Rattus norvegicus: one gene and its partner. The protein of the gene in region 1 purifies or fractionates together with the protein of each later gene. This does not show direct contact. Links are inferred from orthologs where the notes say so. Each region holds a gene or a part of one and is shown on either strand. Other genes may lie near its edges.

Evidence for each region. The genes of interacting proteins can lie anywhere in the genome.
Region 2: the proteins of Cd44 (region 1) and Erbb2 purify together in Homo sapiens (affinity purification with western blotting; 3 studies listed by BioGRID and IntAct, with this or other methods). This does not show direct contact. The link is inferred for Rattus norvegicus from reciprocal best matches to the Homo sapiens genes CD44 and ERBB2.

The regions. Positions count from the first base shown.
Region 1 is NC_086021.1:109,628,909-109,634,110, reverse strand, and holds part of Cd44 (CD44 antigen precursor), read left to right. Parts: intron 1-440; coding exon 441-542; intron 543-2,199; coding exon 2,200-2,289; intron 2,290-3,200; coding exon 3,201-3,398; intron 3,399-5,202. UniProt on the Homo sapiens protein: Cell-surface receptor that plays a role in cell-cell interactions, cell adhesion and migration, helping them to sense and respond to changes in the tissue microenvironment.
Region 2 is NC_086028.1:83,916,886-83,922,087, forward strand, and holds part of Erbb2 (receptor tyrosine-protein kinase erbB-2 precursor), read left to right. Parts: intron 1-246; coding exon 247-315; intron 316-480; coding exon 481-596; intron 597-724; coding exon 725-866; intron 867-1,011; exon of another isoform or gene 1,012-1,118; intron 1,119-2,570; coding exon 2,571-2,690; intron 2,691-2,905; coding exon 2,906-3,032; intron 3,033-5,202. UniProt on the Homo sapiens protein: Protein tyrosine kinase that is part of several cell surface receptor complexes, but that apparently needs a coreceptor for ligand binding. Essential component of a neuregulin-receptor complex, although neuregulins do not interact with it alone.

The DNA of each region.
Region 1 (5,202 bases):
GGAAGGCACTGTCTATTTGAAAACTTTTTATTGTTGTTGTTTTGTTTCGTTTGGCCTGGTGAGCAGGAGATGACAAAATGATGCTTGTGCGTGTTATTCAGTTCCATGTCTGACTATACTTGTCTATCTTAGAAACATGGGTTATATTTCTGTCCCTTTGTGAAGACCATGAGCCCCGCTGTGTGTTCATTTAACTTCCTTTCAGACTAAGCAAAAGAAACCAACAAATAAATGTGATAGCTTTCAGCTAACTCTGCCCTGAAATGAAAACCACTTATATCCTGTGATATTCTTGAAGAAACAATCATTTATCCCAATTCTGGACATGTGAACCTGTTCTTTCCTCTCACCAGGCTAAATGCAAACATTACTTGGCTAAATGACTCAGGTCGTTTCCCAGCATAGGGAATATGGCAATAACATCAATTTGATTCCTTCAGATACAGACTCCAGTCATAGTACAACCCTTCAGCCTACTGCGGCTCCAAATACCCATTTGGTGGAAGACTTGAACAGGACAGGACCACTTTCAGTGACAACTCGTAAGGATAATGACACATAGCCCTTTTGTTGACCTGTCTATCTACTTCACATCTTGCTCATATTGGTCAAGATGTTGCATTTGGTGGTGGAATGGTGGCAGTCTTTGCTAGGTGGCTTAACTCAGCCAGAGTCTGAGTCTGTTTCATTGTTGGCCTTTCTTGCACAGTATCTTATAACCCGAATGAATTTTCATCTAAGATCCACTCTGGAGTCAATGACCACATGGAAATGTCATTCATCTCCATTTTCCATCTCTAACTAGTCATGTGACACTGAAGACCATCACTGGTAGAGTGGCGTCTCAATGCTTTAACTGATTCTTTTTGATTCCCACCCTTCTTCCAGGCCAGGTAGAAGAGATGCTGCTTTCGTGGTTGTGTAAAGACATATGAGGGCCAGATCATTATAGTGAATAGGGAAATCGAGTTTAACCTTCAGAGGAGGGGTGAGGCATGTTGTTGATAATTGACCAAGGTGGAGGAGTTGCTGGAGTCAAAAAGAACCATTTGCTAACATCTTTTTCTATCACTAAACGCCTGCTAGGAAGAAATAGGAACATTTTAGTACCCTTAATTTTCAACATATTTATACGAATCTATAAAGACCAACCTGAAGCCATTCATAAATTCTTGGCAGAATATCAAAGAAATCCCAAATTAAGAAGACCTCATTTCACTGCTTGCTACACATAATGGCCAGAGCCCTTTATAGGAGCCCTTTAGGTGTAGGAAAACTGCCAGCAGGCATGTGTTGATTGTCATCAATGTAAATAGCACTGTGTTAGGCATCAAAGGAGGCATAAAGAAGTCTATAAATGGCCCTTGCCAATTCATGACTTGTATTTCCATTTTGTGTTACTGTTGGCTTTTTTCTGATGTTGGCTTTGGGATTCAGTGAATGTCTCTCTCCTGGTTATATTTGTTTGGTGGTGGACATGGCTGATGGGTGTGTTTTATGCGACTTTTGCACCTGCACTTCAGAGGTCAGTGTCTTTCTTGGAAGAACACAAAAGAAAATAACTCAAAATAGTCAAAGTGATTTCAGATATGGGCAGTGATTCAATCTCAATTTAATCCATTTCACTGAAGGCCCTGTGTTTGCCCAGGGAAGCATTTACTCAAGGCAGTGAAGAGAATCCCTGCTACAGGGGAGACCACAGCCCTACTAAAAAAGTAGTAACTCAAATGCAATGCTCTCTACAAGGGAATCATGTATTTCCTCATAAAGTTACTCTAAGTTCATTGATAGAGATGAGCTTTTTCTTTTGTGTCCACAGACACTACATAGCAACATTTTCCTTATAATCTAACTTCTAGGCAATCTTTATGGTTGAGGGAAAACTGAAATCACAGCCCCCATTTCCACGTCTCTGTGATCTTTGTTTCTGGGATCCTTGCTGCAGCTGGGTCAAGGTAGTCTAGGGAGGGCCATATTTGGGCTTGAGCTTCAGATTGGAACTTCACCGAAGGGCAAAGAAGCTAACTAGGGACAAAATATAATCTTTCTGTATCTTTGCATCAATCAGCAGATGATGAAAGGCACACATATCATTCTCCCATTGTATGTGTCCATTTGATATTCTGTAGCTAGACCGTCCATGTAAAACCATGTGTTATGGTTTCCAATTAACAATGGCTTCATCCCTCATTGAAACAGCACAGAGTCATTCTCAGAACTTCTCTACATTACCTGGAGAGCTGGAAGAAGGCGAAGACCATCCAACAACTTCTGTTCTGCCATCTAGCAGTAAGGATCATAAAGTACAACTGGCTTTTAAGCAGAAATCAAGATGTTATGGGTACTTTGTGGTATCTTTGGTGGTGGTCCTTGTGCAGTATCTTTAGATCTTTGGTGGTGGTACTTAGTGGTATCTTTGGTAGTGGTACTTTGTAGACCCTTTGGTGGTGATACTTTTGTTTTATCTTTGATGGTGATACACCTCTTGCCTGCTTTTATACATTATTTTTGATCAAAAGTTATGTCTGGTGGTGGTCTCTGATTCTTCTGCTTTATAGACATTTTAGAAGCCATCATACATTAGGTACAAACTTTTCTGCTGAATTTTAAAGGTATTAGATTAGTAACTTGGTTTAATAATGATTGTTTCTGTAAGATTTCTTTGATAGCCTTTGAACTAATTATTTTTTCTGGTTTGTTTCTGGACCACAGCTCTGTGGTATTGGTGACTACGAAGAATGTCCTCTTAGCACAGAAAAGAAATTTAAGGCAGTAGACCCAGGTCTTTTGGATTTGAGCTTACTATTCCAGTTGCAGGAAGAATGGTCTCATCTTTCCATCCAATGGTTTGTTTTTATACCCCTTCCTCAGAGGTCAATCCAATTGAGACAAAAAGGTCAAAATCCTCTAATAGCTGAGGTGAATTCAAGGTCACAATAGGATAACCACACACCCTTGATGACTCAGACAAACCTTGTAAGAAGTGCCTCTTCTGTGTAGTATGTAGTCACCAAAATCTCTCCTGTTGAGTGCTATCTGGCTGGTGCCTTGCAAAACATTGCTTTTGCTTGGTACCATTTGCTTTTGGCCTTGGAGAACAAGTAGAAAGATGTCTCGGCAACTTTACCTTCTGATGACAAGTGCCCAGTGGGTGGTGACCTTCCAGGTGTGGGCTTATCATTGACTCCACCTCCATGCAGCTAAGAGTGGTGCAAGAAGAGGTGGAAGTCTTCCCAGAGATACAACTACTTCACTGGAAGGCTACACCCCTCAATATCCAGACACAATGGAAAACGGGACTCTCTTCCCAGTGACCCCTGCTAAGACTGAGGTCTTTGGAGAAACTGAAGGGACTGTTGCTACTGACTCCAACTTTAATGTGGATGGCTCCTTACCAGGTAATTTAGCCATATGTCATCTGGCTTGCTTCTCTGGAGAAACAACATATATTTTTCCTATTGTAGGGGATATTTTCTGTGCAGGCTGTGATTAAATTACTTTGTGCCATGGGGATGGTTTTCATCATTGGTCATCAATTATAGTGTCAGCAAACTTGGATTTATTTGAGATAAAATATGCTTCCATTTCCTGGTGTAGCATCCTTTCTTTTGTGATTTCATATGGTAGATGTTCTTGCTTTGTCTTTTCTTCATTCTATGATATATTAACTTGAACCATGTGAAACATATTTTGATGGAGGGAAATAGTTGAATATTAGCAATTTCATTTGATTCAGATAATATAGTCTGCCTTTTAGCAGCACTTTACTAAACATTCAGATAATTTTCATATACGGGTACCTTTGTTCTGAAATTACCTTTAATTGGTGATGGACTGATTGGTTTTAGTTTTGGTGATGGGTAGATATATAAACCTTTTCTATTTGTGGCATGCTTCAAAATTTATGATTTACTATTCATGAACTGGACCCTCAGTTTTTAATTGTAATAGTAAGATATGATTTACTCAATTAAGTCTGACATGGACCCAGAATGAAACTTTTATCTCAAGTAAGAAATCCTCTCTACTTCTCTTCTTTATTTCTTTGTTTGTGTTAAGAAATAACATTATAGGAAGGAAAATCTGAAAGGGATCTCTGTGGCTAAAAAAATAGACACCTCTTTCCACTAGTTCCTGTAATCTGGGTACTTCCTACCATTCAATCACTGACACAATAAAGATGAATAAGTTTAAATATAAATATGTATACACATGCACATACACCTAATTTGTAGAAAGAGCCTACCTCCTTCACTCTCCCAAAAGACAAAGATAAGAAAATGATCTCATGGGACTCTCATATGCAAAGCAGATGGAAATAGTGATGTTCTGATTGACAGAGCAAGGGAAAATCCAGGGTGTTGTACACTTGGCACATTCCCTCTGGCTTCCCACTCTAGGGCTTCAAGAAAAGGTACTTTAAAAAAAGCAACCTCAGCAGTATTGGCAAGACCAAACCCCCTTACACTCTGAAGGCTTTTGGTTATTGTCCTTATTGACAATCTTCTTTTCCTCATTAAAACCTCCAAGTGCTATTGTTAGGTTCATGCAGAATGAATCAAAGGAGCGCCACAAACGTCCTCATGCTAAAATGGCTGTTCCATGCTACTTAATAGATTTGTATTTAAAATGACAATCTTTGCAAGGTCCTGGGTTCAGTCCCCAGCTCCAAAAAAAAAAAAAAAATGACAATCTTAGATATAGTTTCTTAGGTGGTTTGCAGAATCTAATTACTAGCAACTAAAACACTTACTATCAAATTAGTACTCCCATGTGCTGATCCCATCTGATCAATGTAACAAAGGGCAATGGTGCCCAGGGCCATCCTTCAGTTCTTCGTGAAGTCAATGATTAGTAAATGGTCTGATTCTCATCCCCAGTTTTAATCCAGAAGAATCTCAAACTGTGATTTTTGAATCATAAATATTTCTGCACACTGAATGTAAAGCACTGAAACATGCAATGGCAGTTGTGGTGATGGGCCAGGTGAAGGTGATGGCTTTGGAAATGGTGATTTTGGTGGTGGGACTCTTGGTGTGGTATTTCATCAAGTACTGTGTGGTCTGTTATTACAACCCTTCTCCAAGGGATCTCTCTGTAATAAAGTGGTCTCCAAAGTGGTCTCTCTGTAATAAAGTTATGTGCAAATAAACGCAAGCCTATGTCTCCTAACCAGGGATCACATACAGGGCATCTCACTGT
Region 2 (5,202 bases), on another chromosome or scaffold:
TCTGGTCACAGGGTCATCTCCCTACCAATAGGCAGGACCTTCACCTCCTGAGGCCCCTTACGGTGCTGCCCTTGGGCCCTGCTCACATGTTCCTCCCACCATTCACTCCTCTCTGCCTCCCTCTCAGCCTCCTTTTCTCTCCCTGCTTCCCTCCTTCGCTGCCTTTCTCCCTTCAGCTCCCTCCCTGCCTCCACCCCGTTTCCCTGCCTTCCTCCCTGACTGTCTCCCTTTTGCTTCTGTCCACAGGTCCACCTTGTGCCCCCGCCTGCAAAGACAATCACTGTTGGGGTGAGAGTCCGGAAGACTGTCAGATCTGTGAGTCGGAGGGAGCCCTGGTGTCTGGGGCTGGGGCTGGGGCAGGTGGATGGCTGGGAGTAGCGGACTGACTTACTTGGGAGATGTCTCCCAGAAGGCCGTGATGCTAAGGGTCTGGTGCCGTCCAGGCCCTACCCAGCTCTCACCCAGTCCTTCCACCAACAGTGACTGGCACCATCTGTACCAGTGGTTGTGCCCGGTGCAAGGGCCGGCTGCCCACTGACTGCTGCCATGAGCAGTGTGCCGCAGGCTGCACGGGCCCCAAGCATTCTGACTGCCTGGTACGTGTGCGTGCCCTGGGCCAACCCTCCAGAACGCAAGGGGTGGGCATCTTTCCCGGCCCTGCCCGGATGCCACTGGCGCACAGGTGGAAACATCCCAGTGACCACCAGCGGCCTGTCTCTGCCAGGCCTGCCTCCACTTCAATCATAGTGGTATCTGTGAGCTGCACTGCCCAGCCCTCGTCACCTACAACACAGACACCTTTGAGTCCATGCACAACCCTGAGGGTCGCTACACCTTTGGTGCCAGCTGCGTGACCACCTGCCCCTGTGAGTACTGGGAAGAAAAACATCCTTTCAATGCCGTGGCTAGGGACGGTGGCTTGTATAAGAGGGAGCCTGTTGTGAGTAACCTGTGCCCCTTGGAGGGCTGGTCATGACTCTCAAGGCTGGGTGTCTTACCCTTTTTCTCTTTCCAAATATGGAACACTTCTCGAATTTGTGTGTCGCCCTTGCGCAGGGGCCATGCTAATCTTCTCCGTGTTGTTCCCGTTGTAGTACGTGTGCTGCCGAAGCGAGAGCCTTACTCTTTTGTTTTTAAAAAAAGTATTTCATTTATATTTATTTTATGTCGAGTGTGTGTTTTGCCTGTGTGTATGTCTACGCCTTGTGCCTGCGTTGCCCATGGAGGTCGGAAGAGAGGGAATCCGATCTCTTGGACCTGGAGTTACAGGTGGCTGTGAGCCACCATGTGGGGTGCTGAGAACTGACCCTGGGCCTAAAGAGGCGGCCCCTTTCACCATCTCTTTAGCTCTCGAATTTGTTGTTTGTTGATTTTAGTTTTGTTTTGTCTTAGACAGAGTCTCACTGTGTAGTCCTGGCTGTCCTAAAACTTACTGAGTATAGCAGGCTGGCCTCAAATCCATAGAGAGCCTCCTGTCTCTGCCTTGCCCGTCTCCCCCAATCCCTTTTAAGTCGGGATCCCGTGTAGCTTAGCCTGGCTTGCCTTGAACTTACTGCATAGCCGAGGATGACACTGAACTTCTGATCCTCCCGCCTTGCTCCTGCCAAGGGCTGAGATTACAGATGTATGCTGCCACTCCTAGGTTTTTACCTCATCTGTTTAACAGCTACATAACAGGAGGCAGCGAAAGTTGGGACCTGGAGTGCTAGATTTGAAACCTGTCCCCTACTGTCTTACTGCTTTCCACTTCCTCAGTTTCTTTATCTGTAAAATAGGGGCACTATTTGTCCAGTCCTAATAATTGTGTAACGTCTGAATGAGTTTGGTTCTTTTTTTCGGAGCTGGGGACCGAACCCAGGGCCTTGCGCTTCCTAGGCAAGCGCTCTGCCACTGAGCCAAATCCCCAACCCCACGTCTGAATGAGTTAATATTGGTGAATCTTCGAGAGCAATGCCTAGGCTGGACTAAATACTCTTTTAAATGTGTCTTGTTCCTCCGTCTGCATAGAGTAGGCTTCGTGTGGCAGTGACCCTAAGCACTGTGGACCTTAGGGACTGGACTTGGACCTGGGGACCTTCTTTTCCTTCCTATTATGGGAGGTGGGGTGGGGCCTTTAGGGTCTGGCTACGCTTCTCTTTGGTCAAGGTGAGAGGACAAAGTGGAGAGGTGGTCAGATTGTTTGGTCCAAGTCCATGTTCCTGGGTGACACAAACCTGTCACCCTGACACTTGGAAGGTAGAGGTAGTAGGCTTAGGGTTCCAAAATCATCTTCAGCTGCATGGTGAGGACTCCTTAAAGAAAAAAAAAAATCCCAGTTCTGTTACTTAGTAGCACAACGATAGGAGTGGCTTGTATAGCTCTGCGTCCTGATTTCCCTTTTTGCAAAGTGCAAATAACAGCTGTTGGCATAATGCATAGTAAGGAGCAAATGGTTGTCGAGTTCACATGCACAGGGAGGGCCTTCCAGTATTGGTGGGTAGTGTTCTTAGAACTGGGCGTCGCAGCCTCGATCGTGATTGGCTGGACAGAGGCTAGGCCACAAATGGACGTGTATCCCCAAATCTGTACAGACAACTACCTGTCTACGGAAGTGGGATCCTGCACTCTGGTGTGTCCCCCGAATAACCAAGAGGTCACAGCTGAGGACGGAACACAGCGTTGTGAGAAATGCAGCAAGCCCTGTGCTCGAGGTACCCAGCCCCATTCCAAGACCAGCCTGGTCCACCCAGCTCTCGCCTAGACTCCCGTCTCCTGCTATCATCACTTGTCCCTCTCCAGATCAGCCTCCTGGGTTTCTCTTTGTCAGCATAGGGAAGAGGCTTGTCACTTCAGGAGGGGACAGCAGACAGGTGTCTTGTGTGCCATGTGGTGCTGAGGTGGCCCCTTTCACCACCCTTTCCTTCAGTGTGCTATGGTCTGGGCATGGAGCACCTTCGAGGGGCGAGGGCCATCACCAGTGACAATGTCCAGGAGTTTGATGGCTGCAAGAAGATCTTTGGGAGCCTGGCATTTTTGCCGGAGAGCTTTGATGGGTAAGGGTACGAAGCGGCCTGAGGTGGTGCCAGGGAGGACCAGAGTTTGAGGCCAAGAATCCACATCAGGCAGGTGGGAGACCCGAGGGGGTCAGGGACATGGGGTTGGAGGTCACTTGTATAAATATCATTTAATCCATAGTCATGGACATACTGTGGTGATCAAACCATCCAGAGGGGACATTGTTTACATTGCGTGTGTTCCTCCAGGCTTTCTGTATGTTGGACACAGGGTGACAGCTTAGACTGGGGAAGGTAGCTCATGGAAACTGCCATGTACCCCTCATTTTGGGGAATTGCTCATGACGGCTTTTGTTGGGGTGCCTCTTTTTTGTTTTTTGTTTTGCTTTGTTTTGTTTTAAATATCTGGATTTGTACCATCTTTTTTTTAAAGATTTATACATTTATTATATATGAGTACACTGCAACTGTCTCCAGACACATCAGAAGATGGCATCAGATCCCATTACAGATGGTTGTGAGCCACCATGTGATTGCTGGGATTTGAACTCAGGACCTCTAGAAGAGCAGTTTTAAACACTGAGTCATCTCTCCAGCTCACTTTTTTTTTTTAAATTTATGCTCATTGGTGTTTTATCTGTATGTTTGTCTGTGCGAGGGTGTCAGAAGCCCTGGGACTGGAGTTAGAGACAGTTGTGAGCTACCATGTGGGTGCTGGGAATTGAACCCGGATCCTCTGAAAGAGATGCCAATACTCTTATCTGCCGAGCCATCTCTCCAGACCTCAAGCTGACTCAATCTTACAATAGCTGCAGAACGGGAGGCAGCAAAGACAAGCGACAGAGCCCAGGCTTGAGTTTGAAACCCACCTTAGTCTGTCAGTCTGTCTGTCTCTGTCTATCTGTTGTTCTCTCTCTTTCTGTATCTGTGCCTGTGTCTGTGTGTCTATTTGACTGTTATTTTCTCTGTGTATCTGTGTCTATCTGTTATTTTCTCTCTCTTTCTGTCTCTGTATCTGTGTGTCTGTCTGTGTGTCTTTCTTATCTGTCTGTTATTCTCTCTGTATCTGTGTCTATGTGTCTGTCTGTCTATCTGACTGTTATTCTCTCTTTTTCTGTGTCTCTGTCTGTGTGTCTGTCTGTGTTCAAAGGACAGTCTAGGTGTGACTCCCTCAGGAGCCATCCACCTTGTTTTTCAAAATAGGGTCCCTCTCAGGCCTGGAGCTCACTAAAACAGGCTACAGCCATGACCAGGGAACATGAGGAATTGATTTTACATCTCTAGTGCTGGGATCACAAGCTCAGCATCACACATGAGCTGCTGCTGCTGCTTTCTTCTTCCTCTTCCTCTTCCTCCTCCTCTCCCTCTTCCTCTTCCTCTACTTCTTCCTCCTGCACTTCCTCCTCCTACTCCACTTCCTCCTCCTACTCCACTTCTTCCTCCTCCACTTCCTCCTCCTACTCCACTTCTTCCTCCTCCACTTCCTCCTCCTACTCCACTTCTTCCTCCTCCACTTCCTCCTCCTACTCCACTTCCTCCTCCTACTCCACTTCCTCCTCCTACTCCACTTCTTCCTCCTCCACTTCCTCCTCCTACTCCACTTCTTCCTCCTCCACTTCCTCCTCCTACTCCACTTCTTCCTCCTCCACTTCCTCCTCCTCCTCCACTTCCTCCTCCTACTCCACTTCTTCCTCCTCCTACTCCACTTCCTCCTCCTCCACTTCCTCCTCCTACTCCACTTCCTCCTCCTCCTGACAGGGTTTCTCTGTGTAGCCCTGGAACTCACTCAGTAGACCAGGCTGGCCTCAAACTTGAAGATCTGCCTGCCGCTGTGGATGCTGTGGTTCCGGGGTATGGAACGCAGGTCCTCAGGCTCGTGGGGCTGAGCCCTACTGCTTAGCCTCATTGCCTCCTCCTCTCTTTCCTACGCCTCAGTGCCTCCCGTGTAAAGGGAGGACCGGCATGGCTCTGTGCTCAAGGTGGTTAGAGTCAGATAGAAAGTTAATAGTTGGGACAGGCGCCTGACGGATGCTGAGCGCCCCCTGTGTTCGTATTTTAGAATCTGCGGGGATCAGGGTTTTATGTTAACAGCACCCTGTTCAGATGTCGTTCCTACAAACAGTTCAGGTTGTTTATGCCTCTGGGAAGTGAAGCCAGTGTCCATGCAGGATATACCACAAATAAGACTTCTAGACCAAAGGACACAAAT